5 linked regions of the Coturnix japonica genome follow. The protein of the gene in region 3 binds, or shares a complex with, the protein of the main gene of each other region. Links are inferred from orthologs where the notes say so. Each region holds a gene or a part of one and is shown on either strand. Other genes may lie near its edges.

Evidence for each region.
Region 1: NUP188 (region 3) and NUP214 share a complex: the UniProt entries of both Homo sapiens proteins name them as parts of the nuclear pore complex. The link is inferred for Coturnix japonica from reciprocal best matches to the Homo sapiens genes NUP188 and NUP214.
Region 2: NUP188 (region 3) and CETN3 share a complex: the UniProt entries of both Homo sapiens proteins name them as parts of the nuclear pore complex. The link is inferred for Coturnix japonica from reciprocal best matches to the Homo sapiens genes NUP188 and CETN3.
Region 4: NUP188 (region 3) and NUP107 share a complex: the UniProt entries of both Homo sapiens proteins name them as parts of the nuclear pore complex. The link is inferred for Coturnix japonica from reciprocal best matches to the Homo sapiens genes NUP188 and NUP107.
Region 5: NUP188 (region 3) and NUP93 share a complex: the UniProt entries of both Homo sapiens proteins name them as parts of the nuclear pore complex. The link is inferred for Coturnix japonica from reciprocal best matches to the Homo sapiens genes NUP188 and NUP93.

The regions. Positions count from the first base shown.
Region 1 is NC_029532.1:4,690,184-4,695,837, forward strand, and holds part of NUP214 (nuclear pore complex protein Nup214), read left to right. Parts: intron 1-899; coding exon 900-1,003; intron 1,004-1,618; coding exon 1,619-1,801; intron 1,802-2,286; coding exon 2,287-2,372; intron 2,373-2,461; coding exon 2,462-2,545; intron 2,546-2,883; coding exon 2,884-3,132; intron 3,133-3,829; coding exon 3,830-3,991; intron 3,992-4,151; coding exon 4,152-4,260; intron 4,261-5,654. UniProt on the Homo sapiens protein: Part of the nuclear pore complex. Has a critical role in nucleocytoplasmic transport.
Region 2 is NC_029547.1:53,324,477-53,330,130, forward strand, and holds part of CETN3 (centrin-3), read left to right. Parts: intron 1-1,859; coding exon 1,860-2,051; intron 2,052-5,654. UniProt on the Homo sapiens protein: Plays a fundamental role in microtubule-organizing center structure and function. As a component of the TREX-2 complex, involved in the export of mRNAs to the cytoplasm through the nuclear pores.
Region 3 is NC_029532.1:4,031,128-4,037,412, reverse strand, and holds the start of NUP188 (nucleoporin NUP188 homolog), read right to left. Parts: upstream 3,458-6,285; 5' UTR 3,412-3,457; coding exon 3,386-3,411; intron 3,113-3,385; exon of another isoform or gene 3,082-3,112; coding exon of another isoform or gene 3,056-3,081; intron 2,053-3,055; coding exon 1,998-2,052; intron 1,611-1,997; coding exon 1,537-1,610; intron 966-1,536; coding exon 881-965; intron 262-880; coding exon 181-261; intron 1-180. Other genes in the region: DOLK (dolichol kinase), read left to right, coding at 4,388-5,935. UniProt on the Homo sapiens protein: Component of the nuclear pore complex (NPC), a complex required for the trafficking across the nuclear envelope. Required for proper protein transport into the nucleus.
Region 4 is NC_029516.1:31,997,748-32,003,401, reverse strand, and holds part of NUP107 (nuclear pore complex protein Nup107), read right to left. Parts: intron 5,577-5,654; coding exon 5,488-5,576; intron 4,639-5,487; coding exon 4,560-4,638; intron 3,912-4,559; coding exon 3,798-3,911; intron 2,343-3,797; coding exon 2,252-2,342; intron 1,323-2,251; coding exon 1,246-1,322; intron 840-1,245; coding exon 780-839; intron 83-779; coding exon 1-82. UniProt on the Homo sapiens protein: Plays a role in the nuclear pore complex (NPC) assembly and/or maintenance. Required for the assembly of peripheral proteins into the NPC. May anchor NUP62 to the NPC. Involved in nephrogenesis.
Region 5 is NC_029526.1:557,925-564,051, reverse strand, and holds the start of NUP93 (nuclear pore complex protein Nup93), read right to left. Parts: upstream 3,813-6,127; 5' UTR 3,702-3,812; intron 3,422-3,701; exon of another isoform or gene 2,512-3,421; intron 2,501-2,511; exon of another isoform or gene 2,416-2,500; intron 1,887-2,415; exon of another isoform or gene 1,620-1,886; intron 1-1,619. UniProt on the Homo sapiens protein: Plays a role in the nuclear pore complex (NPC) assembly and/or maintenance. May anchor nucleoporins, but not NUP153 and TPR, to the NPC. During renal development, regulates podocyte migration and proliferation through SMAD4 signaling.

The sequences.
Region 1 (5,654 bases), about 660 kb from region 3:
AGCTTGCAGTAGTGCTGGGTCTGGTTTCAGGTTGGCTATGTTACAATAGAATTTCATGCCGTATCTTGAAAACCTTTGCAGTGGAATCCTTCCCAAACGTTACTTGGCTGGTTCATCATTGTGCTTAAGCGAACATTCATTTGAGATGAGCTGAAACGAAATGAGGTTTTTATTTCCTTTTTATGAAATGCAAATTAAAGGCATGTTCATTCTGTGACAGGTTGGAGGGGTGACAAATATGAGACAGAAAGCTGGTTTTGGTTAGGAGCAGGTCTTGTGGTGAGACGTATCTGGCTTCATTGTGCTAGTTTTGCATCTGTGTTGTTATGGAGAAGCCACTTAATTCTCTTTGTGCCTTACTTCTTTCATTTCCAACCTATAAAAATCAAGTTAATTCTTTTCATTATCATGAGGGCTGCAAGTGTTCACGAATGCTTTTGTGAATCATGGTTTGTGAATGCTGGTACTCCAGGAGCCATGTGAATAGCCTACAAGGATTCGATCACCTATGACTGTTAGACAGTTCAGCATTGTGAAGTGGGAGCAAATGACTCATCTTCTGGAAATGAAGTTTGAAATAAGATTTGTTTTGTACAATGCCTGATGTTTGTACCACCCTTTTCTGAAAAGACATGGCAGTGCTTTGAAAATGTTATGGAAAGCCTTATTTATTGTTCAGAGCTAGGATAAAATAGCCAGGCCAAACCCTGTACGTATTCCACAAATTAATAACTAGGTTTTCTCTATGTTGCATTGTCATGCTGGTTAAATTTTCCAGGCAAAAATATGGGTAGGTGTCACATGGCTTGGACTGCTTGAACCCAAAGGGTCTTCATCATCTTCTACTGAAATGGCAGGTTCTGAAGTGAATTAAAATCTGATTTTTTTTTGCATGGCAGGAGATTCGACGCTTGCACCAGTATGTAAAATATGCTGTCCAGGATGTGAATGACGTTCTGGATTTGGAATGGGATCGGCACCTGGAAAAGGAGAGAAAGCAGAAGTAAGTAACTGAAACTGGAATACAAGACTGTGAGGATCTTATCAACGAATCAGTCACTGCCTCTCATCAATAGACAAAACCCTTTTTCTGTTTAACAGTACAACCTTTTTTTTTTGTGGGGTTTATGAATAAAGTTTAACAAAGACAGGTAAGAAGAGAGCTGTAGGTTCAGATTACTGGGCTGTGGAAGTTTGTTACATTTTGCTACATCTCCTTGCCTGGTAAAGGAGTGCTTGTGATAGAAAAACCTGTAAAATAAGGTGTGTAGGGACTAAATGCATCCATTGGTGGAAGCCAATGAAACCTCCCAATCTTCTAGTAAATGAGCTAAACACATTTATAGCATACCCAAAGGAGAAACATGCATTTGAGACAAGCAGAATATTAGGGATATGATTTAACTGGGAAGTATTGGTGATGGTTGGACTGGATGATCTAGGTCTCTTCCAACCTTGATAATTCTGTGATTCTGCCTTTTGTGTTTAAAACAATCTTTGTTTGACTTCATGGGGTAGAACTGGCAGGATCTACCAAACCACTTTGTATGTTCATGCCTGCTTGTAGCCAGATCTGTAGAACCATTTTGATCTGTGTTTCTTGGTCTTATGTCTCAAGGCGTCTGGTTGTTCCTGAACGAGAGACTTTGTTTAACACCCTTGCTAATAACCGGGAAATAATCATTCAGCAGAAGAAGAGACTACATCATTTGGTGAACAGCCTACAGCAGCTCCGACTGTATAATCAGACATCTCAGTGGAGTGTTCCCAGTGATACATCCCCTCTTAGCAATGCTCAAAGGTATGTGAAATGCAAGTTCCTGAGTGGTGTTGCCACTGCTTTCTTGCCCTGAGCAGTATTCAGATGTGTGTCCACCGAGAAATGATTGTGGATGTGATGTGTGAGAACAGTACATCCTAGAAATGATACAAAACTATGCCCAGGTAATGCAGAAGCTCGCTTGTATTTGTGTGATACGTTAACACTCATCACAAATTCCCCCTTGAAAGTTTTATTTTTTTATAATAGCATAATCAGGATAATTGAACCATTGAACCTCTGGACAGAGGTACTGCTGTTTGTCTGAATTCAGGGGAAGAAGTGAATAACTTAAGAATTTCCAAAGTAAATCAAGATACGTACATATAAATAGCATGGTATCTAGAGGAGCCAGCTGTTCTTCCTGATAAGTTAGTACTTCTAGTGATTCATTTTGGCCTGTTTTTGTTCTTAATTTGTTTGATTTCTTTCTGCTGATCCTGTTTAATTGTTTTGCTGTGTCACAGTTTTGACAGTGACCTTGAAAGCCTGCGCAATGCCTTGATGAAAACTACCTTGGAATCACGCGTCAAACCCCCACCTAAAGTACCTGGTAATGTATTCTTCCTTCCTGGTGTTCACATGTAAATGTTAACGTTGTTAATGTTGGTATAGACTTAATAACTCTCTTCTGTTTTCCAGCTAAATTGCCCCCTGTGAAACTGACACAGTTGAGGAATTTTCTATCCAAGAGGAAGACTCCACCAGTTAGGTCTACGGCTCCAGGTAAACCTTTAGCTATGTTAAAAGTCCAGAATGCTTTGTAAGAGGGTGAGTTACCTCCTGTGGGAACCAATCCTGAAATTAGCTTAGAGCAGCTTCTCGTAGCCTCTGCCCTTACTTCACCCTTGCTGCTCCCTCATCTGCCCTGAGTAAGAATTTACTTCAGTTACAATCTTACCAAAAGTTGCCTTTGCTGGCAGTTAGGAAGTCGTATCCTAGCAATGTAGGATTAAAGCAAGCCAGTTAGAAGAGCATCCTAAAATAGGATGTATGTCTTAGCTGTTAGGATGGATGACTCTCTCACCTTAGTGTACACGTGTCTTTTATTTCTGTTGTTGTAGCAAATTTGTCCCGATCTGCCTTCTTGTCCACAAGATACTATGAAGATTTGGATGAAGTAAGTTCAACATCCTCAGTTTCCCAGTCCCTGGAGAATGAGGATCTGCAGGCAGCAGACCAGGAAGAGGAGGCTGCTCCTGTTCAAGTCCCTCGTCATGCCCCTGTGGTCCGCACTCCATCTATCCAGCCTGGTTTGGTGCCTCAGCCTCCATCCTTTGGGAAACAACACCCCTCCTTGGGTGGTACTCTATGTGAGTTATTTTGCAGTGTTTCTGCTATTCTGCATGTATTCCTGTCAGTGTCTTTTACCACTGTATAAATTGCTGCTGCTTCAAATCCTGGAGAAATGAGTTTGCAGCAGGGAGATTTACACTGCCAAATTCCCAGAAGCAGTTAGCAGAGTGGCACTGTAAGCTTGGGAATACACTGAAGTACCTAAATGCACTAAAGGACCTTGACTCACTGCATTTTGACTGCTTGTTACTTATAGATCATACTGACCATAGATGGCACTGTCTTCCTTTAGTAATTTGTCTTATTTTTTTAAAATGCTGCCCCTCAAAACAGAAGGCTGAAGTACTTCTGCATTTGATGAGTGTGCACAAGGTTAGGACTTCTGAGCCCCAAAACAGTAAGAACTAAATGTGCATATACTCAGATTTCCTTGTCTGCAGTCAGAGAACTCGAACCCCAAAATGAAAAGTAAGCTGTCAGTAGAAGTGACTACAGCAACAAACTGAAAGTCATCTGGTGCACTGAAATAACAACTACTGCAATGTACATGCTGAATTCATTGAGGTACTCAAACTGTCTGTGCTAGAAAAGTGTCAGCTGTCTTATCAGATGGAAGCTGTGAAATCACAGGAACTGTAGTTTGCAAAGGATTTCAAGTTTTCCTGATTTTAATGGATACAGTGAACTGTAATATTTTTTTTGTTTCCTGTTTAGTGCCTACGTCTTCAAACAGAATCATCCCACAAGGGGCAGACAGCACAATGCTTGCAACAAAGACTGTGAAACATGGGGCCCCTGCTCCCACTGTCACTGTTCCAGCACCACAGGCAGCTGCTGCAGCAGCTCTGCGAAGGCAGATGGCCACCCAGTCCCCAGGTAAAAGGATGGCTGATTGCTCAAGTCACCCTTGACTGGGCAAATAGAAACTTACATGGATTTCTTTTGGAGTTACTCGGAGACACCATATTGATTGCAGTATTTAATATGGGGAAGGTATTTACCACATTTATTTATTTATTTATTTATTTTCTTAAAGCTGTGAGCACCTCCTTGACTGAATCAACTCTGAAGAATGTTCCCCAGGTGGTGAATGTACGAGAACTCAAGACAGGTGCTTTGACTCCAGCTGTCTCTACAGTAATAGGGTGAGTGGGATCACCCTTTTTTTGATGGTAGCCTTCGCTAGTGCTTGCAATAGGGCGCATCTACCAGTGTGTAGAGCAGTAGTCTGATATAATGTCAGTGGTGAGTGTGTTTAGAAGTGTGTCATGAGTTTGTGGGATGAATAGAAAATATGTTTTCTTTCCAGATCAGGATAAGCTGTTAGTAAATCCTTGAATGAACAGACAAAACCAATATTATCATCCTTCATTTGTCTGTGAAATATGTTTTAATTCATTTTCTCTTGCAGAAATCTAGCTGAGTTTTATTGTGAACGCACACATCTGAGATTTCCAGTCACTGATACTATTAGGTCTCCTTCTGCAATGGAAGTGCACCTCTGTTGCTGCTTGTGGTCTGTGGACTTAAGCTGTCTAGATGCTGCTCTTTCTACTTCCTCGTCAATTACAGATATTATGTACTCTGGGGTCATGCCTCTCCCATCTGTTCCCTGACTCACCCTCTGGCAGAGGTAGAACAGCACTCTTGCTTCTCTGAAAACTTGTCTTAAATTTCTTGACATCAGACTTTTGACTGAAGGGCTGAGTGTTGATTGCTTTGGAAGAATACAGAGCTGTAAAGCTGTCATCCGCATAAGGAAACTATGAAAGTTGGCTTCTGGTATTTAACCTTGAATTTAAATTTTCTTCTGAGTTAGCTGTAACTTTCTGCTGCTTAGAAACAACAGCCAGCTCAGCTCATTCCAGAGATTTCTGTCTTATCACCAGGCTCTGTCACCAGCCGCAGAACTAGTCCCTTTCCCTCTGCTGGTAATGACCTTGAAACTATATTTGCTTGATGTTCCTATGAATGCTTAAGACCAAGATAATGCATGGCCGTTTCTGGGGTGGGGAGACAAGGGCATTACTGAAAAGTCTGAGCAAAGTTGAGGTTACTGCATTTGTCATGGTGCCAAGGCATTAAAAACAGGATAAATCACCATGTATGTCTGATTAGAATTCCCTGCGGAGCTGCATATTCTTTATCCAGATAAGTGTGGACTAGGCGTGCAGATCTTGGGACAATTTTTGTTACATTATTTCTGATTTTCATACTTGTGTGTATACTCTTCATTGTCAAAGAAGAAAGTAAAATTCCTTCGGTGTAGCTTATCAAAAAGGGAGCAGTCTTATGCTGATGGAGCATAGAGTTCCTCACCTGCTATAAGTGCATTGTCTGTAAATTTGGTTTGAGATCTCCCATCTGCATCAAGTCACTAATAAAAACAGCAAAGAGTAGTGGCAGTACATAGATCAAGACACAAGTGAGTGATACATATCAGAGATTGATGTTCACTTGGACTGTAGCTAAATACGCTTTTTACTTTGAAATAGTTTTAGATTGGCAGGATAGATTTGATCTCTCCAATGTACAGAAC
Region 2 (5,654 bases), on a different chromosome or scaffold from region 3:
TCTTTTTTTGTTATTTTTCACATCCCTTTCCAAGTTCAGTTCCATCTGTGCTTTGGCTTTCCTGATCTTATTTCCCCATGTCTGAACTGCATTCCTTCATTCTTCCCAGGCCATCCATCCCTACTTCACTGCCTGAGTTTGACCAGCAGGTACTTGGTCAGCCATATTGATTTCCTGCCTCCCCTACTTGGTTTCTTATGCTGCGGGACGGAGGCCCCATGTTCTCTCAGAAAGCTGTCCTTGAAGATCTTCCATCTCTTCTCCATTCTGATGTCCCTTAGGACGTTTCCTGGGGAATTCATCCAATAATTCCTAAAATGGCCCAAGGTTTCACCCTCCTGATGTTGTGTCCTGAGTCAGCTTTTTATTGTCCTATTTATCAATATAGACAATAAGTGCTGTGAGAAGCTAGGAAGATTCATGTAGAAAGAACAGCAAATAGTTGGTTGGCAGTTTTAATCAATCAAAAAACTTTGAATCTGAGGTCTGAGCATGGCTATGACAAGTATGCCCTTGACACAGAATTAAACTGTATATAGCTTGTAGCAGAAAGATTAGAGAAAATAGGTTATAAAAACAGTTATGATGAGCTGGCTGAATGTAGTTTAACAATTGTTTAGTTGTCAGTTTTGCATGATTATCTGTGGTTTAAATATCAGAGCTGACCATCTAAAATGTGCATAGTTGCATCTCCTCTTGTTTTGTACAATCATTTTATCTATGGCACTTAGAGGCAGTGGTTTTTTGTTAGCTGATGTTGCCTTTATTCCCTTTTATGCCTTACTGCCATAAATGTAGAGTTTCTTAAATTTACTACTGTCACACGTCATAGTTGTTTTCAATGAAAATATTTAAATATAAATATGAGTGATTTTTGTATATATTTCAATCTACATTATATATAAAATACATAAATACATATAAATATGAAAGTGAAAACAAAATCCTTATTGCTTTATGAGCTTACATGAGATTGGATCTGATATTTTGCTTTCAAGTTTGCTAAGCTGGAGGAGGCATTCCATCTGCAAACAGTAGCAGATGTAAGTTTGTCTTTGCACAAACAAGGATGATGTGTTTTTAATGGTTTGATAAAAGTCATAAATACCATGTCCTGTAACATGAAACTAGCAGGTACATAAATATGAAGATATTTGCATCTGATTCCGGAAGTGTCTGAATTAATCACCGAAAAAACATTTTTGTAGTTTGGCTGTCTTTTCTGTCACAGCAACTAGCAAATGGATGCAATAAAAGGAATAACCAACAGTAACAAATCCCTTCAGAATTAACATTTCACTGTGTATAGTTGCATTATTTTCATAAACCTCAAGCTTTGATTTTGTTGGTTTTTTGTTAGTGTGATTTTGTATCTAAAAGAGAAATTACATGAGAATGTTTTTAATTACTTCGTGCTGTTTCAGTGTTCTCAGAAAGTCAAAATTCTATCCAGATCATAATATTTAAAATCAACAAATTCAAGTGCCTGGTTCTGTGAGAGCTGATGGTTTTTTTTATTTTATTTTTTTTCTGAAATGCATTTTTCAAATAGAAAAGGCATGTTTATACTTTCAGTTTGTATAGAAAAGCCTATTGAAAGCATGATATAGTCTAAATTGCCATGTAACTTTTCAACTGTGCCTGATATATGCTGAAGAATAACTCAGCTTTGAAAAGAGAGTAGAGAAAGAAAGGCCAGATAGCTGCCAAACAAGTACGCATGCATACTGTGAACTGAAATAGTTTAAAAATGAAAGAACAGATGAAATCTGGAATATATATTCTTTCTGTTACCTCAGTCAGCCTGTCATTCTGTTTACCCTTCAGAATTTTTTAGTCTAACTTCAGAATCTTTACAGTGACAGACTGGATATTGGACAGAGATCCACAAGAAGAAATACTCAAGGCATTCAAATTGTTTGATGATGACGACTCTGGTAAAATAAGCCTGAGAAACCTGCGTCGTGTTGCTAGAGAGCTGGGTGAAAATATGTCTGAGGAAGAACTGCGGGCTATGATTGAAGAATTTGATAAGGACGGAGATGGCGAAAGTAAGTCTTAAGCATAGACGATGTGGGATTCTTATCTCTTAATTTTCTCCCTATTTTAACATAGCTTTATCTTGAAAATGCCTGAAATTGACAATTTTCTCTTTGTTTTCTTTCTAAATATCTCTCAGCTCAAACTTAGCTTATGTAAAATGAAAATAGTTTTTGATAGTTACTAGTCCTGAAGAAGCATGGTGGAGTCTAAAAGTCAAATAGATTTCTCACCTTCACTGAGGCTTAATCAACCAGCCCATACCTATTCAAAGTTTGGTTAAAGTTCCTCTGGTTAAATAATTAAGTGGTTCATGGAAGTGTCTGTGTACTACAATAAAATTTGGTATCTGTATGAATTAAAATGGCAATGAGTAAAAGGATTAAAAGGCCAGAAGAAACTCTTTTGATCACCTGGTCCAATATTTCTTAAGCAGTAGCGTGTCACTATTGTGATTTCAGCTTGTTGGTCAGATACAAAGAACTATGCTACTAAGTTGTGATGAACTTAACCCTGCGTCCAAGCAGGATCACCTAGAATAAGACTCTAACATGTCTCTGTACTTAGGAGAGCTGAGGAGTGTGATGTGGAAAATTCCTCTGAGGAAACAATGTCCATACAGTGTGAGCTACAGAAGAGCTTTATTAGCTAGATAAAGAATTAAGTAACAGGCACTGTTTAGGGTTGTTGTTTGTTGTTCAGCTCCCTTCTTTATTTCCTCCATGAACTTAAATCTTTGTATTTAAACTAGAAGCATTAATACCTGGATTTCAGGAGCCACTCACTTAAGACAATCTGCATATACTCTGCATTTCTGAGTCATAGAAACCATTGTGAGTTTTTCTTTCAGGATGATGACTCTCATCTGAGATCTCAGAAGTAGTTCAACTTTTTTAGTTGCAAAACATTTCTATTTGTCAGCAACATCTACTGGAGTCTAAACTCTGATAGAGAAAAAAACAAAATTCACAGCACCTGCCTTTTTGTCTGTCTTGTGACAGATACTTCAGTCTGTGCTGCTTGTGGTAGGTGTTATTTCACACTTGATCATACAATTGCAAGCTTGTTAATTGTTGGCCTGTACTGTTTTTGCATCTACTCAAATATTGAAAAAAAAAATACAAACCTTTCTCCTCCCTCCCCTGTCCCACCTCCAAGAAATGGGGGGAAATGAATGAAGAACAGGACTTCTAAGCTTAGTCAGCACAGTTTAAATGCCAATGTTGTTTAATTTTAGTGATGCAAATAGGGAGCATAAAGGCAAAAATACTAAAAGCTCTGTGCTTTTGTTGATACTAGACTGTTAATCTTGACACTGTTTTTACAAAAGTCTGTATAATGTTAAGAAGACTCTTACTTTTGTTTAGAAGATGCCACCTCCTGATCTCACTTCATTTCCGGAGGCTATGTTACCTTAGTAGAACCTGCATAATTCTGATGTTCTTTTATGTGCCAGATGTGTCCTTCCACACATTTATTGCATTGGTATCCACCTCAGTAGCTATACAACAGAGTATAACAAATATTCTAAGTGGACAGCTTTATTTTAAGTTTATTTTGCTTTTAAAAGTAGTGGTGGCACTGCCAATGTTACCTTTTACTTATTTCTATTAAAGACTCATTTTATTTGAAAGTGGGGCTGCAGAGGGGATAGCAAGTAGAATAGATCAACCACAAGCATGTTTTGTTCTCTGTTACCCTTCTAGAGCTGCCAACTCAACTGTCAGAATGATAATCAGGGATGATTTTGGTCATATCACTGTTTGGTCAGTAGAAATCAATGTAAACTTTTAGCTCCTTCTAGGAAGATTTTAGTTTTTGGGGGGATCAGTACTAAGTTTCTGAGATTGTTCAGTTCATTTTCCTTATTCATCCATTAATTTTCTTTTTTAGAGAAGTCTGGAATAAGATTGAATGTGGAAGATTGGTAGCATGATGTATTTGCATAGTTCTGTTCCTTATGGTTCTGTTTTCTGTTCTCTAAAGAAAACTAGTACTGTTTCTAGCTTTTAAGATTCAGTCTCGGAAAGTAAATAATCTTCTGAGTCAGTGTTCCATGTAGTTTCAAACATCTGGGTCATGTAACAAAGTCTTGCTCTCATTTATTTCTCCTTTGTTTCCTGCCAAGGGGGAAAAAATCTCTAAGTATCACTTGGTAGCGTTCTATATTTTTCAGTAGTTCGTCTGTAACTGGGCAGCACATTAAGGACTCCAACTTACTCATCTAACATTCTGTGAATGGAGTAGAGAAAAAAAAAAACACCAGTACCCTCAGTACATTGTGGAAATGTTTCCTATTTCTATTTTAATTGTTTATCCTGTTTTTTTTCATGAGTCAAACCACATGGAACCTCAAGCCTGGTTTTAATTTTAGTCATGTGTCATAAAATGAATAAGAAGTATTACTATTTAAGGGAAGTGATGCTTTTGTTTGTAAAATATTAGTACCTTCAGCAGACACTTGAATCATACCTTAATCGTGATGTTTTAGGACAAAGCTCAATTTCTGTGGTTACTTACTTGTCTTGCCAGATATGTTTGTGGATCCATTTTTTTTTTTCTTAGAACAACACTGATTAAATTTCATCTCTGAATTTATGTTTAATGTGGCTTGCAGAAAAGCTGCTTTGGACTCCAAATATATCCTGCAGATAACTGCTGTTGGAAATGTTCATATACACAGAGTCTACTGCTCTTTTCTTCAAGTAAACAGTGAAAAAAGTAATTGTTGTAAGGTAATCTGTATCTGTTGTCAGTTTATGGGCTGGTTCAGCCTGGTTCCATGAGTGATGGGGTGGAGGGATCTGCAGATCCACATCTCTGGATAAGTGAAACAGGGGACACCAAAATAATTTAAAACAGTGGCAACAATCTGAGGAGAAACAAACTAATTTACTAAATATGGTATTGAAATGCAAGATAATGTGTTATACAGTATAATTAGAATTGAAGCTAATGAATAAAATATAATGAGAGAGAGTATCTGAAAGCTGTAGGCCTTACAGTAGTGTTGAAGTGATGCGTGCGCTCAGGAAAAGCAACAGGGAGAAGAGCCAAAGGAGAAAAGAGACATCAGATGACCTTGCCAGGGGCTTTGTCTCCACTCTTACCACAGAGTCCTCCAGGTTATGCAGTTATTCCAGACAGGCACCTGGAACTGGAGCATTAACACTTTAACTCCCAGTGCACTACATGATGTGTGTGGAATACTGATAACCAAAAATTGTAAAGCCATAACATAATTTTGAAAGCAAGTTCATAGACTTTGAGGTGTATTCTCTTTCCAGTTACTATTCTATGTATAGCTTAAAACAGTCTCATAAACTCAACAAGTGAAAATAGGTAGCAGCATTATGATTGTTGACCAATATAAAATAATAGCTGTTTGATTTAGTTATATGCAGTAAAGCCTTAATTTATAATTCTAAACGCTGGAAAATAAACATCATACTCTTGTGGTAACTGACCATGAATTGAACTACCCTTGAAAGTAAAGCAATAAAGTAGAGCCCAAATAGGCCCAAACTGGTCTGGCTTTTTCTTTTTTCTTTGCTTCTAATCTTGATTTTTTTTTTTTTTTTTTTTTTGATGGTTTATATGAGGTTATTGCTAGC
Region 3 (6,285 bases):
ACCTGAACTTCTGCTGTCCCACGTCTGTACAGTGGTAATTGGCCACCGCAGGTTCAGAGAACACAAACTACAGTCTTTTCCAATTCAGAATGTGGGGTTGCATATGATCGTGTTCATCAACAGATTACTGGTATTGTGGACAGGTGTATAGTGAACAGGAAATAAATGGGAGCTAAGGACCTTCAGGGAGTCCCTCGTTCCTCTGTAATCTTCCTGAAGATAACACTGTAATAATTGCACGCTCTGCTCTTCATCCAGACCCTGGAAAAAAAAAAAGAGAGATGTTCTGAAATGAACAAAAGGTAACTGAATTCATTAAAGATTCTCTCCAAATATTTCAGGTTGAATTTCTCTTCAGAATAAATAAAAATAGCATATTTTTGCCTTTCAGGATGATGCTTGTTTCAATCAGCACTTCAGTTGAAAGCAAAATACACAAGCCTTGATGTCACTTAGGTGCAGCCAGTTAAAACCTCAGCAGAGGAGCACCACAGTCATTTAAAGAAAGATACTGCCACTGGTCACCTAACCCTCACTCCCAAAGGGGAATCACAAGGAATGTAACCTTGCAGGTAAGCAGCATTTTCAAATGTGGCAGATACCTTAAGGGATATTGGTTTTCAGCTGAGCAAAAGATGTCTTGAAAGAGCCCGAGACCAAAGAGGATCACTTCCGAAAAGCAGGAGGGAATGTAAACCAGGAAAAACAAATCACTTCATAGAGTCACTAACAACCTCAGGAAAATTTGATGTAGAGCCACTATGGGTAGTTGTAACCTTCTTTAGATTACTTTGAACTGAAAGAAACTTAACTTTGCCTCTCCTCAGCATGAAGAAAACACAAGGATAAGAATAATAATCAGAAAAGCACCTTCACTCACCAAAAACTTGCTGACCCTCAGGCCCAGCTCTTTTAGTGGAGCAGCTACATCTTTATCAGCTTTTATCTTCTCTGCTGAAGTTGCACTACAGAAAAAAACAGTTATCATTAAAAACACAGCAACCCCAAGGAAAGAACTCAAGAGGCTTAATTTCCAAGTTATCAATTTTACCAGTTTAAACTGAACACTTGTTTGCTCTCAGTGGCCTTTCAAATATGTCATACAACAACAAGCAGCAGTTTTCCTACCAGACAATACTCAACACTGTTCACTACTTTATCAGTATAATAAACACAGGCTATATTCACTCTATCCTTTCCAGTGAATGGATCCAGTTATCTTTCTGACACGAGTAAGTGTCAAGAGAAGACACTTTGCTGCAGAGTGCAGACTTGCACTTGGGCTCCACAGTTGGGCAGAAGTAAGGATGGGTTAAGAGCTTTCCAACATTGGTAATGACAGTAGAAGCTACTGTTATTTCTTTCTGGCCTGTATTTTATGCCCTAGAATAGTCTGGATTAAACACTTCACACTGTTGCTCCTTTCCATAAAAAATCTATTTTTACAAAATCAGAGAGAAATATTCAGTATGCCCCTCTACTTATTATTAGATTCCATTTTAGACATTAATTTCTACAATCAGACAATTACTGTACCTTGGAGGCTTGTAGTATGAAAGCCCTTCTAACAATCTCTGCCAGTGCTTGTTCAGTTCTGATGCAATCTGTGCCTAAAAAAAGAACCAAATACTACTGAACAGATTCCTCAACATCTCCAGTCCAGTAGCAGATTTAAGCAAAGCAAAGAAATTCCACCATCACACAGACAGGAACAACACAAGGCAAATAACAGCATCTATGACTCAGACTGATTCAAGGTGAGTGTTGTAGGAGAAAGCTTGCTGCTTTGCCTAACATTAGGAAAGGAGAAGAAAGAGAAGGTGCTGGTCCAGGTTCTGATACATTTGCATTTCCAGCCTCTGGGCACTGGCACACTCTGACACTGAGGACAAGGAAAAAGCAGCAAAACTAGTATTCAAACAGATGTGCAAGTGATGGATTTGGTCATGGAGTCCATTAAGTGACAGGTGAACAGGCTTATCAAGACACAGACTTACTGGTTCTCTTAAAGCTGATCTGCCCAGGAGAATTGTCCACAATTCTCTGCTGCTCCTGTAAACAAAGAGAAAACATGGAGACTGTTTTAATAACAAACACCATTTCAGACTTCTACTTAGCACAATTATTATTAACGTTTTCTACCTCCATTCAAAGATGAATAAAAACCAGGTAAAGAGAAGAAACACAACGTGTTTTCAAAGGGAAGTCCCGCTAACCTCAGCTCTTCAGAACATGCACCTGAGCTTCTTGTTTCTTCCTGCTCCTGAGAAACTTATAGGAAAACCAACCCGTGCTGGAAGGTGCTACAAAGCAACACCTCACCCTGGCAAATGCAACTGCAAAGATGAGTGTCCCTACAACAGCTCTGCAGAAGCACAGGTGCCAAGCAAGCTTAAAACTCACCATCTGTCAGTAATGTAATACAAATCAGGAGTGAAAACACCACAACTCCCCTCACTCTTTAAAGAAGAACACCCAATAACTTATCTTCAGATTGGCATCATCAAAATAACCCATGTAAAAGCAGATCACCTGTAACGCCTGACACGTGGTGCCATTAAAATGGCTTATGGAAGCCGCTACTTCCAATGCATCCATCAACCAGTTTCTTTCTACTTCCAAACTCAATAGGAGAACTTCCCTGTGTGGGACCTGCACCCCATCAGAGGGAGAGCAATGGGAGGGAAGCTCCCTTGCTGCAGCCATAGGGAATAGAGCTGTTCTTGGCCCCATTGGGGGTGTGAGCTTTGCTTTAATACAACTTAAACACCGAGGGGCTAAACGGAGAGACAGAATAAACGACCAAAAGGGCAGGAAAAGCAGCGATCTGAAGGGGCTCATCCCATCAAAGGGCTTCCTTCCTACAGCTCCCACGTGGCTGCCGGGTGTCAGCGAAGGGCTCCCAAAGAAGCGAGGCCGAATGGCCACATTCCCGCAGGGATCTGCCGCCCAGAGCCGCCCTAAGGGCACGGCCAGAGCCCACCGAGCACAGCCCGACTGCTGAGGCGGCCAAAGGGGGGATTTCCACAGCTACACCGCGATGCTCTGCACCAACCGAAGCAGCAGGAGGGCTGGAGGCATCCCAAGGGAGACAGCCCAATAGAGACACCTCAATGGAGTCACCTCAATAGAGACCCCCCCAATAGAGACACCCGGATCCCTCAGGGCCCCTCAGCCGAGGGACGGGGCGGGCCCAGGCGGAGCGGGAGGCGGGGTCGGAGCGGCGCGGGCCCCTCGGCCGTTAACTCCCCCGTGTCCCCCCCCCCACACACAGCCCCTCCTCTCCTCCCCGCCGTGCTCCTCGCCCCCCCCCATCAGCAGCAGTTCGCTCTCAGCGCTGCTCGCCGCCCCCTCCCCAGCTCTCCGTCCCGGCCGCATCCCGCACCTCGCGCACAGCCCGCCCGCCGCCATCTTCGCTGCCCCTCTCACGTGACCCGCGGCGGCCGCTCCGCCTCCGCTCCCCCCCCACACTCCCCGTTACGCTGGGTCATGTGACCGGCGACAGCGCCAAGATGGCGGCGTCCAGCCAGGTAGGGGAGCGCTGCGGGGAGCGGGGGGCAATGGGGGGCAATGGGGGGGCAATGGGAGGCAATGGGGGGCAATGGGGGGGCAATGGGGAGGCCGCGGCCTATTGGGGGGCGTTGGGCAGCGCCTCCTGTCGGGATCTGGGGATGCGTTGAAGGCTCCCAGCCCATTGCAGCCTGGCCCCTGCTGTAGGCTGTCCAAAGCCCCGTCCAGCCCGACCCTGAGGGCTGCCAGATTTGGGCACCCACAGCTCCCAGGACCTCTCCGCCCTCGTTATTAATGGTTTCATCCTATTATCTAACCGAAATCTGCCGTGCTCTAGTTTAAAGCCCTTAGCAGATAGCCCACTCTCCGCTGAGGAGTCCCTTCCCGTCCGTCCTGCCCCTTAGGCACCGGCAGCGTTACCTGGCAGGCACCAGAAAGTAACGCAGCAGTGCAATACCTCGTGTTGCAAACCTGCACGTCAGCAGCCTTTGCAGGCTGGAACAGAAGATCTGCATCGCAGGTGGTGAAACTGCTCCTTGTCCTGTAGCCCAGCTGGCAGCTTGCTGCAGTGGAGCCATCTGGGAATGGTTGTGACTTGCTTGCTTCATATTTCATGTCAAAGATGTAATTTGAAGCATTTCTGTTGCAATATCTGAATACCCGTGTATTGAGCAGTTGGCTTCTGTCAGCACAGCTTGGATTCTCCAATAGGGATAATGGTTTTGGCTGATCCCTTCTGATCTCTGACAACGTTTGTCTGTTTGTTTTTAATAGGAATCACAGTAGCATAAAAGAATTCCTTCTAGTGGACAACTACTGAGAAGATCAGGACCCATAAGAAAGATCTTGAAAGCCAAAGCCACATTGGACTGGAACCATGTTAAACAAACCAGTGCTGGTGGAATCCCTGATCGTCTTCAGCATCGTTCTGTGTGTACATGCAGTGGTGTGGGACCGCTACTCCTGGTGTGCTGTAGCTCTCGCCATCCAGGCTTTCTATGTCCAGTTCAAATGGGACCGTCTGCTGCAGCAGGGGGGAGCTGTGTTCCAGTTCCGCACCACAGCGAACAGTGGGCTCCTGCCTGCCAGCATGGTCATCCCCTTGCTGGGGATAGCAATGAAGGAGAGGTGTGAGGCTGCTGGTATCGTGTACTTTGAACGCTTTGGTATAGTTGTAGCTTCCACTGGGATGTTGGTTGCTCTATTTTTGTCTGTAATTGCTGTTGGCATCACAAAACCTGTGCCCACCAACACTTGCATACTCACTGGTGTTGCTGGCAGTATAATTATCTATACCATGAAGCACTCTTTGACTGTTTCAGAAGTGATAGAGGTCCTAGAAGTGCTGCTAATTTTTGTCTACCTCAGTATGATCTTGCTTTACCTGCTGCCTCGATGTTTTACTCCTGGAGAAGCATTGCTAGTTCTCGGAGGTATAAGTTTTGTTCTCAATCAGCTCATTAAACGCTCACTGAATGTAATCGAGGGCAGAGGTGAACCCATAGACTTCTTCCTTCTGGTGGCAGTTATTGGAGTTATTATTCTTGGCCTTTTTTTCACTGTTCTCTTCATTTTCATGGATTCAGGTACGTGGATTTCCTCCATGTTTTTCCACATGATGACAGCAGTGCTAGGCTTAGGGGTCATCATGCCTTGGCTTTACCGACTGATCCGGAGGAACCCTTTGTTTTGGCTGCTCCAGTTTTTGTTTCAGACACAGACGAGGGTTTACCTTCTCGTATACTGGACTTTTTTGGCTGCTTCAGCGTGCGGCATTGTTTTCTACCAGAATGCCAAGAGATCGTCTGAATCTAAAAAACACCAGGCCTCAACCATAACCAGGAAGTATTTTCATTTCATTGTTGTAGCGACTTACGTTCCTGGACTAATTTATGACCTCCAGCTTCTCCATGTTGCTGCAGTCCTGTGTCTGGCAGTGTTCATATTCTTAGAGTATATTCGGTACTTCAGGATCAAACCGTTTGGCCAAACTCTTCGGTATTTGCTGTCTCTCTTCTTGGATGAAAGAGACAGTGGGCCTCTAATTTTGACTCACATTTATCTTCTTCTTGGCATGTCCCTCCCAGTGTGGTTGTTCCCCAGATCTTGTGCCCCTAAAGGTGCTTTGTCTGGGGCAGGAGCATTGGTGCCCTATGCTGGGGTGCTGGCGGTAGGGGTAGGAGACACCATGGCCTCTGTTTTTGGCAGTACCATGGGGGAGATCAAATGGCCGGGCACAAAGAAGACCTTTGAAGGGACAATGACAGCAATTTTTATTCTGATCTTTGACAGCAATGTCAACCTGAACTCCAGCTATGCCTGGATTCTGGTGTCTGTGAGCTTAGTTTCACTTTTGGAAGCTTATACAACCCAAATCGATAATTTGCTGTTACCTCTCTACCTCCAGATCATGTTCATGGTTTAGAAGCACTTCCAAGAATAGAGGTTTCTCCATTTCTAGAGCAAAGCAGCAACAGAATATATGCACATCAACCACAGATGCAAGATGATCCAAGCACTGTTTTTTCTTTTGTTTAAAAACAAATGAGAAATAATTCTATTTAAAATAAAAGTTTTGTTTCAGTCTCTTTTTCTGTAGTTTTTTAAGAGAGCACAAGGTGACTTTTGTCAGCACAAAAAGAAAATCACTGGGGAGAATCTATTAAACCCTTCTGCACTGATAATCCCTTATTGCCAAGTGCCCATTAGGACAGAACACAGTAAGTGCTCTCTCTGCCTCTTCCGTTTCCCCAAGAACTGCCTGAGCTGAACCTT
Region 4 (5,654 bases), on a different chromosome or scaffold from region 3:
TTTCCTGCTCCACGAGTGTATCCACCATGACCCTGAAATAAGCCCAAACGGTGTCCTCCCACGTGTCACAAACTGGAAGAAGCTGCATATTTTAAGCAACAGAACAGAGCAAAATGTTAGAGATGGAGAACCATCAGAATCCAAACACACCAACTGTAACTTAGGATCAGTTTTTTTTCCTCAGGGACATGATTTAGCAGAGGGTTGTTAGATGGGGTCATATGGTTGGGTTGTGGTTGGACTCGATTATCTTTAAGGTCTTTTCCAACCTGAGCAATTCCATGACTCTCTGATTTGCCGTCTTTGTGCTAAAACTTCATATCCAGTTCCTTCTCCTAAGTAGTGATTTATTTACATACATGTACAAAAAGCATCGGTACTTAGAAGAAGGAGAGCACAGAAAATACCTGGAGGATTCAAACACATAAGAAGAACTACTTGAAACTATCAATAGTGAAATTTGGTTACACTGACAAATCAGAATATGGTGCATGGGCAGAAAAGTGGCTGCACAAGCTTTTAGATAACACTAACATTTCAAATCTAAAACAACAAAATCAAAACCGGTTGCCCTGAGGGTCAGCAACAATAATACTAAAAAAGTCTATTAAGTATATTTAATTAAGGCAGAAAAATCTTGCACAGACCATGTCTGTTATTGCTATTGTCATGATTACTAAGCTTTTGAAAGCACATTAAGAAGAATGTCTTTATGATGTTATTATCACATATAATAATTCACAAGTGCTGAACACCATGTACTAGGAGGCCTAACATACCTGCTTGAGGTTTCCACTGAGTGCTGCATAGATTGCTCTCTCGTATCTGTTGAATTGCTCCTAAAATAAACAGTTGAAAAATTACCCATGAGTTAAAAAGCACCAACACATCCTGATAAGTTACATTTTATTAGAGACTAATCCATTACTAAGTGTTCCATGCACTTGAAAAGTTGAAAAGCAATGGTTTTTCCTTTCCCATTCAGCTGAGCCCAGATGAAAACCAGCATCAGCAGCTTCACTCTCAACTAAACAAAACTGACATTTCCAAAGCCTTAAAGATTGATGCTGATTGGGCAGGTTTTATCTACATGAAAAATATATTATTTCAGAAGTCCTCTTAGAAACATGAACCGCAAATCCCCACAGACAGTAAACCAAGAAGGCAGGCTTACTTAAAATCATGTTATAGTTCAAAGAAGTTGAACATTTCACATGACTACCAAGCAAATTAACATTATCTTACCTCTTCAGCCATCCGCCAACAACATATTTTCCAAATGCATCTGTATGGATTCCCTTCAACAGGCCGGACCTCGTTTCCTGTTTGCAAAGGATAATAATAATAAAAACAACACTCCAAAACAAGGCTAAGACACCAGTCGAGATAAAAGTAATGGGATATCAGGGTTTGAAAAGCAGGAAAGCATTATGCCTTCCAGTCTCAGGTGTGCACAGCACTCAGACATGCTCATAAATCCTTTGCTAAATCTAGCAAAGTCCAAATACTATAAAACCATGTATTTTTCCTCCGTTTACCTTTGCAGAGCTCTTTAGTCCTATTATATCTCTTGGCTTCCAAGAGATCTTGGAATGCTTATGGACTCCATCTTGGAGTCTATAAGCAATAAAATGTTTGCTAGCTGGCTTAGTGCCTTTAAACTGGAATAGCTTTAAACTGAAAGAGGGAAGATTTAGATCAGATATCAGAAATCCTTAACTGTTAAGAGTGGTGAGGCACTGGAACAGGTTGAACAGTGAGGCTGCAGATGTCCTCTACCTGGAAGCACTCAAGGCCAGGCTGGATAGGGCTGTGAGCAACCTGGTCTAGAGCGAGGTGTCCCTGCCTGCAGCAGGAGGTTGGAACTAGATGGTCTTAAAGGTCCCTTCCAACCCAAACCATTCTATAATTATAGAAGGCAGAAGGTTCTCTGACATAGAGAAAACACGTACTGAGACATGAATGGTGGTGGTGAAGATCTGTCCAGAATTCCTAGACATCTGTTTTCCTAGCTGCTATGTTTGTATAAAAAAACACCCAAAAATTGACTTAACTATGTTAAGTGGATTCAGTGAACTCATACCTTCAATTAAATCATCTCATGCATGTTAAATGTGATCAACAGACATGGTAAAACATATTCTAGGCACAAGAAAGACCCTCAGTATTAAATAAAGAGCTAATTCTCTTTGCTAAAGAGAAAACCCTCTGCTTATTTTTACAGTTCTCAAATGCAGATGGAAGTAAATACCTCCATTTATGTTGGGATCATGATACAATTTCCATCCTTCCAAAGTTGCAGCTCTCCAGGCCTGACCGCATCGTTTGCATAAGCGCTGGGCCTGAAAAATAATAGATTTTCTCTGCAATCGACTTCAAGGGAAGAAATGCAAACGTTATTAAAATCATTCATTTGTGTAGGGATTGCACTAGGCAAAAAAGAACCTGAAACTCAAAATAACTGAAGAATTTCAAAGTAATGAAATGTAATCAGTGTGTTTCTCATTAAATGTTTAAGTTTTTATCAATACTTACTTGTAAGTATGATAGATGCATTACAGTCTCACCCTTCTGGCTTAAACAGCTGTTCCATGTCCTTCTGACAAGCTTAAAGTACCACCTTGTTGCTTAAATCCCTTAACCATCTCTTCACCTACTTTTCTAATTGACGTAGCTTTCCAAACCCCTTGTGTGCTGCTAAAAATACCACGTCTAACTTTCCCATGATATCAATAGCCTACTCACTAGAACAAAGAGATTTAATTCGAAGCTATTTTGAACAGCATGGAATGACAATGGTCAAGCTCACATACTATATTTTATCTATCGTAAGATAAAGGAACCAAGGCTGTTTCTTGGTTTTAACTCTTTCAACAGAGAATAAGTGACTCCATGCTTATCAGATAGTAGGAACACCGTAGTGCAACTGAAATTGAAGATTTATATTCATACCCCTCTGAAGCAACGTGGACTTGTGCCCATACTATCAAACAATGAATGGACAGGGGAACAGAATACCAGCAAGTGACCAACTTTCTAATCTAAGGTCTTAGACACAGGAATCTGAAGTACCTTTTCCTTTCCATTTTCCAAATGTCATATAATTGTAGAGCCTGGTATAAGACTGAGCTTCCAGCTCAGACCACACCACAGTACAGCTAGTTACGTTAAATCACAAAAGCTGCTTCACAACTGGACATCTTTACTTGGAACAGCATTAGGACCAGGACTGCCAGATGTTACTCAGATAAGGATTAAGGCAAAATATAGAATCATAGAATTACCCAGGTTGGAAAAGACCTTGAAGACCATCAAATCCAATTGCAGCCTAACCAGAACCCTAACTCTAAAAACCCTACACTAAATCATATCCCTGAGCATCACATCCAGACGGCTCTTAAACACATCCAGGGATGGGGATTCAACCACCTCCCTGGGGAGCCTATTCCAGTACCTAACTACCCTTTCTGTAAAGAAGTTCTTCCTAATATCCAACCTAAACTTGCCCTGGCGCAACTTGTATACGCATTGTATATTCTGTAGAGCAGCCAAGAAGCAGAATTATAGTAAAAGGGTGAATGGAGAATAGTATGCTTTCTAGAATATTCCAATACAGTCTATTTGAGGTTTTTCCTTACAAAGACACCTGGCCAAACAGTAAAGGTTAAAAAAAAAAAGGTAACATGCTATGCCATGACTTTCCCTCAGCTCCATTCAAATCATACAGCTTTAATAGTAAGGTTTTAAACAAGTTAAACTACTTAACCGAGAATATTCTTTCATTTTCTGAGGTTTACCTCATCTGTCATCCCTGCTCTGATAAGAGTGAAGAGATACTTCAGTAATCTTGCATCGTCTTCTCGATCCAAATCATCAAGTGGCAGTTTCTGTCTAATGGGAGCATCTGGATCCTGCAAGGAAAAAAAGGAACCATCCATCCATTCAAATAATGCGTATCCGCCTCTTCCAATGATTTCCTGTCCTGTTTTACAATTCAGAGTCACATTTTCATATTGGCACAACATGTTATACAGCCCACATAATCTCTAGCATGATGCTTCCTTGTCTTTATTTCCTTTATTCCTCTTCTGTCACTGTTCCTATCAACTGTAATCTCCTTATTTATCACTATGCCTCTGCCTCAAACCTCTCATCTTCCAGCTCTTCCCACCTTAAAAGCCCTCTCCCCTTCTGCTTATCAATCTACCTGTCTATACTCCTCCAGCTTCTCAGCAGCCTTTTCACACTAGTTGTACTTGCTTCTATTTAAAACAAATATATCAAGATCTGATAATTTTAATCATTATATTAATCATCCAGCGACTTCCAACTTTGGCATTCACTAATATCCTCTCATCAGCGACCTCCTTACTGCTTCACCATTTCTGTACTGATTTTCCAACTTAATGCCTTGTCATTTTTAGATACTACAACAATTTATAGATACCAAAAACTGCCCCGTTCCACCCATTTTTAGAAAACAGCATATGTGTTCTGTGCAAAGCATTTTGAATGGCTTTTATGCCCAAAACCAAGTCTTATATTTAAATAACACTTACCAATTCTGTTACCAGAGGTCGAGAACTTCCAATGAATGTACTTAACTGTCGCTGCTTCAGGATATGTAGCGTATTCTCCCTGGGAGCAGTGAAATGTTTTTGAGAGAAAGAAGGGATTAATAGCAAACATTTTAATAAGACATTAAAATTAGAAAATATTTCTGGATAATTGGAATAGGGTTACAAGAAAGGAATGCTTGGTTTGGTTTGTGCATCAATGAACAGTGTTATCGTACAATTTCATTAGAAGTACAATACTGGAATCAATGCACGTGGCTTTGACTTCTTTCAAAACCACTTTCAATGTATATGAACTATTAATCCATTTCTGCATGAACAAGATTTCCCATTAGTGTTCAGCATTATCGGTCTTGGATAGAAATACAACTTAGGATGAACACACGATTCCAGAAGCCTGTGTTCACCTGTCTTTAAAACAATGCTTATAATAGGAACTAGAATCAAGAAGACTTTGCTCTCTACTGCCTTAAAATCCTTGGCTGGTAATAAAGATGACAATAATTACTTTTGGTGAAGGATAAATGGTAAAAAGTGATGACACGAACTTCAAAAGCCAGACAAAGAACTGAGCACAGAAGAGAAACACATGAGAACAGTTTTATCACCTGCTGATCAGCAGCTGACCATCTTTTTGATGTCTTTTTGATGAAAAATTAAACTGTCATCTATGTAAAACTAAATTAAATTGTTTTCACAACCTTCCTGTCACCTGCTCCTCCCAAAGGCAGTATCTGACTTTTGAGAAGACATAGCCAAACTGGGGAGTAGCTCACTTTTCATATCAATGAATTTAAGGAAAAATGAATGAATGGACCAACTTCTTAGGTGGTTCTAGACTGATTCTGTGTCTGGTTCTGTGAATATTACAATTGAGGAAGCATGGATACAATCAAAAGTCTGAACTCACCAATACACAGATTTTGCGTAAAACTCAATATTATCAGAGAAGTTCCCAATTTCATCCTTGGCGATGCTCTCTAGCCAATCTACCACCAGCTGGAATGAAATTCAATAGCTTTTTTTAGAACAAACACACAATAAATAATACTCCATCTTTCTCTCATCTCTGAATCT
Region 5 (6,127 bases), on a different chromosome or scaffold from region 3:
CAGCTTCTACACCTACAAGCACTCAGAGAGACCAGCAAGAGCTGCTCCTCTAGAATAGAACACTGTTCCATCAGTCCTCCCCAGGCAGCATCAACTATAACAAAGCATTTAAACAGTATAGTTTTGTATTCCTGATATTCCACCATTCCTAAGTCCCCTTGGGGAGGATGGGTAGAAACACCTAAACATCAAGGAGATACTTTCAGGTGCTCTCAGAGCACTTTGCCTAGCAGGATGACATTCTGAATGCAGATCTATGGTCTGTCAAAAAAGCAATGCAGGTACCATGTGACTATGTGACAGTTCAAAAGGGGAAGAACAGGAAGTGAAGAAATCCATGTGAAAGTTTTTGTGTTAATTCAGCTATAAAGCATTTGCATATACATCTATTTTTATATATACGTACATATAAGGAGCTAGGAGATATGGTTTAGTGGTGTTATGTAGATATGCTAAAGGGAGGACGGTTGGACTAGATGATCTTATATGTCCTTTCCAATTTTGTGATTCTATAATTCTATGATATACTTTTATATAAAATAAAAGAAGATTTGTGGTACATATACACATATGGGGATACACATGCCCCAACTAGGTCCCAAGCACCAACTCTGGCTCTTTAACTTAAAAATAAAATCAAGAGGAACCGGTTCAAGTGAGCCCTTGAATCTAAAAGAAAACGGTGCATGTTTACAAACCAGAACTCACCTGTAAATTCAAAAGTATCTCTTGGTTTCCCCTTTGAACTACACTAAAGCAATTTTAACAGTACTATTTCATATTCCTGGTATTCCACCGTCCCTAAGTACAACTTCAAGAGGCAAGAGCACTGTTCTGTGCCTGGACAAGAAGTGACTTCTAAGCACTACGTGGTGATTCACTCGGACACATGCAATCAGGGACAGGACCTGACCCCTGCCCATCACACATGGAGATCGCTGGGTGTCAGGATGAGCTCCACAGCCTCCATCCAGGCACAGAGAATTCCACATCCATCCCTCATCCACCTCTGGAAAACCAGGAGCTGCTAGGGGACGTAGCAACCCCATGTGCACTGACCTATTGTTCAGGAGAGACAGCAGGGTCTGGATTTGTTTGAACAGACTAGCATGCCACTGAGATGGCTGGGAGGAGAGAGGGGCGTGGTGGAAAGCAGCAGTTCCATGCTCTGCAATGCAGTACAGAGCATCTTTCCAGTGTTTACTTGTGATACCTCAGTGTGCCCCAGCAGAAGCTGCCTGCACTGGCAGAGGCTGACCACAACAGCCACGCTCCTGTACCGTTAGAAAGCAGGAAGCAGTGAGTGCAGGAGCAGCACAGACTTCAGCTTGATTTGATTCAAATCAGTCTGCTTCCTCTTCTCATTAAGAACAAGATGAAAAGCCAAGAGTGTGAGAAGGCACTGACTTCTCAGAGCTCTAAAACCAAAAGCACAGAGAGTCAGGGGACTACAAATAGCTCCACAGACTGCAATTGTCAAGCACGGATCCCAAGTCAATTCCATATACAGGCTGTCCCACAAATCTGCCAAGGTAGGACAACCGTAATGACTCTGGAAAACAGAGACTGAATTCAGCAAATATAGAATAAACTTGTTAATTTGAAGCAACTCCAACTACCTTTGATTATAACCAAACACTGGGAATGAGAGCTCAAACCTTTCTCTAGAGCTCAAACAGCAGCGTGTTCCAAGGGACAGACTTCAAACATCCAGACCGGGTAACAGCATGAACTACTTAGTCTCCATGCTGTCAGAATTTACTGCATTCAGGAGGCTGCAGTCTGACTCCAAATGCCGCTGTGCAAGATGGAAAACTGCTGCCACAGGGACGAGCAAATGACAGCAGACTGTTGTGTCTGGCTGCAGAATGTGCAACAACTTACACCTAAGGGAGAGAAAATACACCAGAAATTAAACTAACTTCGGTGAAACTGGATCGACCCAGGGCTAGAAGCCAGGGCTGAAAAAGCCCTTCTGTAAAACGACTTTGATGACTTATCAATAGAAGCTGCTGCATTAGTCTGCTATTGCTTGTCCAATAAAAGCCCCATTTAATGTTTTCCCAACATTTAAAACCGCATGTAGATGTTACAAACTCTACAAGCTGGCTGGATTTCAGCCAAAATGAAATCAGAAATGATGACAGGTTTCTAATTCTGTTCAGACTGACCATAAATGCCGGCTGGTCGTGGAAAGCCAGGCCCTGCAGTGCTAGCAGATGAAGAGTGCTGTCCTACTCCAAATACGGCCATGCTGAACATTTCACCATATGAGCTTCATAAAGACTTCAAGCTGAAGAGCTCCCATGTGTAAGCAAGTGTCTGCTGTACTTCATACACTGACAGTCTTTGTGCCACCTAATTATAATTAATTTATTTAAAGAGACTGACTAAAAATTCAGAGGGAAGCCTCACCCACTGCAATCAGAAGAGCTGATAAAGAGTACAATCCAACCAGGGGCAAAAAGATTCTTCCCAAGACAAAACAAAGAGGAAGAAATCCAGCGTTACCCTCTCAGAGTGCTCCAGAGACCCATGTGACAAGTCAGCATCCGCTCCCTTTGGAAGGAAGAGAGTAAGTGACTGAGTATGAAAGCAAAGAGCAGGCGGCAAAATACATACATGTATATCTTGAATGAATGAAAAATGCCACTTCCGTGATATTAGACACTGATATTAAGCTCCTTTCTAAGAATGCAGGAACTGTCAATGAGCTTGTTAAACAGAGCACACGTAGGGCAGGAATGGTACAGACAACTGAGCCCCACCAGCAGCACACACAGGTCACCTGCTCCCGCTCCCAAGGTCTGTCCCTGACTCATTTTCAACTTCTATAAGGGAAAAGGACCGATTGCAAACCACACATCTATTACATGTTGTCCACAAATTGCCCTCTGCTACACGACTTTTAATCAAACCTAGCAAAGGGAGCCACACCACCTCCTGGTTTAAGCTAAAAGCACAAGCCACACTAAAACCAAACACGTAAGGGCTCCAAGCTGCATGTGGTGCTCCAGCTGGTACAGTGCCCTGGATGTAGGAAAGTCCTGAACAGAGCACACAGCAACGAACTCCTCAACTCAGTGTTCATTCCACCACCCACAAATTAAATCAGCTGCCATCCCTATATTTCCCAGTCCTGTATGCTTTGTTCTTCAGCTGCAGGCAGGTGTGTAAGTTACCAACCCTTTGATCGCGGCTCCCAAGCTCTGGTCTCATAGAGCTTTTACAGCACAAACTGAATAAAACCAGCTGTTTCTGAGGTCTTACTGCACTGCCGTGCCGCCTGCCCTGCTCACTCCCCTCACGCTCCTTATGTTGTAGCTCGGATCCTCTCCCCACAATCTTTCCTTTGCTATCAGCACCGCAGGAACAAGCAGGAACCACACGAGCTGATGTAGCCATTCCCAGTCAGTCCATCCTTTCGGTCCCCTCATGTCGGCCCCACCCGCCATCACCCCGTGCATCTCCCCCCGCCTCCAGCCCTCACACAGCCCGGCCCGGACCCCCGGCAGCGGCCCGCACAGCTGGCAGACATTGCCTCGGCCCGAGGGCACCCGCTCACAGGAGGCCCCGCGCCTCAGCGCCCGCCCAGGGCAGGGAGCGCCGAGCTCAGGAGCCGGGGAGCAGAACGATGTGAGGACGGAGGACGGAGGCCGCCCGCACCGCGATCCCCGCCGCGCCCACCGCCCCTCACTCACCTGCCCGCCGCTCCGGCCGCCGCGCCTGCACGCCCGCGCCGCGCGCCACCATTGGCCACGCTCTCCCCCTTCCCCGCCAGCCCATTGGTCGAGCCGGCGCGCTTCCTGACGCTACGCATTTCCATTGGTTGTCGAGCTGAGTCCCGCCCCTCCAGCTCGTCTCGCGACAAGAAGTGATTGAGGCGCTGGGAGGCGGCGCGGGCTGTGCGTGGTTATGGGGGCGGTGAGCCGGGAGACGCGGGTTCGAGGCTGCCCGCCGCCTCTTCCAATGAGGAACGGCCCGACGGCCGCGCGGGGCCGGGGGTCAGAGATGAAAACACTATAAACGAAAAGCGGAACGCCTGCAGACTGCCATCAGTACGGCTGTTCGCTGCCCTGAACCCCCACAGCCATCTGTTCCCCATTCCCCACTTGTGTCCATTGTGCCATGTAGGATGTGAGGCTCACTCACTCACATAAAGAAAAACTTGATTTCAATTAAAAAACCCACCCTGCAGGGACCCCGGGCCGCACACCCCCCTCAGCCCAGCTCCCCTCAGCAGACATTGCCCTCACACCTTCCCACAGCGCTCATGTTTGAAGGCACGGCCCCCAGAGCTCGTCCTGGGGGCTGCTCCAACCCGGGGCACGGCTGGGAAGGAGCCCAGGCCCTGATTTACAAGGCAAATACACACTGAGCGGGGCAGCCCCTTTCCCATCTCCAGCACCACCCCAGCGAGGGGCCCGGGGACTCAGGGCCACCCACCCCACACGGCTCCCAGCCCCATTGGAGGGCACGAGCTGTCCCCACCCGCAGAGCATGGGACGAGGCAGCATGGCCAGGAGCAGAGCACACAGCACACAGACATGTGTGGGCAGGCTGTGCCCTGCAGCACAGGTAGGGCCAACTTTCGCTTGGCAGGTGTATTCGGAAGGAAAAGAGCAGCCAGGCGCCTTCCCACGCCCCCACCCCCCTCCTTGTCTGCCCCCCCAGGGCAGGAGCCGGCCGGGCTGTGCTCACACCTGCCCCATGTGGCACCCTGAGCCCCCCACTCACCAGGGGCTGTGAAACAGAGCACCCCAACTGCACGACACCACTCTGTCCCCTCAAACCACAGCCCACAGGGGGTTGGCGCAGCCCCCAGCACCAGTGCTCCCACACACGTGTCACAAGCAGCATCAGGGCTCAGCCAAACTCATTTATTTCCTCCATCAGCACAGAAGGTACAAAACATGTAAAAATAAGCTTTGTTTTGTGTTTGTGGCCCCCATCACCCCCCACCCTGTCCCCAAAGCATGGCAGCTATTTACAGGCGAGGCGGGCTGCTCAGTGGCAGCAGCTGCACTTGCTGCTGGCTGGTTCCTTGCAGACACAGCCCTTGGCACAGTTGTTGCAGCCAGCGGGGCAGCAGGAGCAGCAGCCTGAGGGGGAGAAAGGAGAGTTAGGGGTGGGAAGGATGGGGTTGGAGATGTAGTAGTATATGGGGAAGGATCAGGGGACATCGTGGAAATGGGGATCCCCACGGAGCAGGGATGTGGTTCCAATGGGGTGGGGAGGGTTCATAGGGATCCTGCGTGTTGGAGATTCTCCCCTTCTTTCTCCATAGGGGAGAAGTGGGGGGGCTTCCAGGAAGAAGGTAGGAATCATCCTGGGGGCTCTATGGTGTACAGGGAGGAGTTCCACAGAATAGACACCTCCAGGGAGAGTGGGGGGGGTTGTGTCCATTGGGGGTCCTACAAGAGCAAGTGGACAGGGGAGATGGGGGCATTCCATAACAGAACCTACAGAGCAAGTCAGGGCCAGGAAAGCATACACAGGAGTCCTACAGGAGCGAGTCAGGGGGGGGGGGCTATCCATAGGAGGTCTGAAAGGAGCAAGTTGTGGGCAGTTGTACATGGGGGGTCAGACCACATTAAGTCAGAGGCAGGGAGGGAGTGTCTACTGGGGTCCTACAGGAGCAAGTGGGGTGCAGGGAGAGGGTGTCCATAGGGAGCAAGTGGAGGCTGGGGAGCTGTCCATAGGAGGACCTACAGGAGCAAGTTGGGAGGTGGGGATAGGGCGGTGGGATAATGTCCATAGGGGGTGCAACTGGAGTAAGATGGGGACAGGGGGGTGTCCATAGGGGTGTCCTACCAGAGTAAGTCAGGGGCCAGGAGGGGGTATGCACTGGGGTTCCTAAAGGAGCAAGTGGAGAGCAAGGAGGGGGTTCTACAGGAACAAGTGGATGTGGGGGGCTGTCCATAGGGGGTCCTATAGGAGCACATCAGAAGTGGTGAGCAGGTGTCCAGAGGGGTTCCTACGAAGTGGTGAGCAGGTGTCCAGAGGGGTTCCTACAGGAGCAAGTGGAGGGGGTGCAACAGGAGCCAGGGGAAGGGTGTTTCCCACGAGAAGGAGGGAGGAAAGTCTCCATGAGAGGCCAATAGGGGAAGGATGGAGGACCACGGGA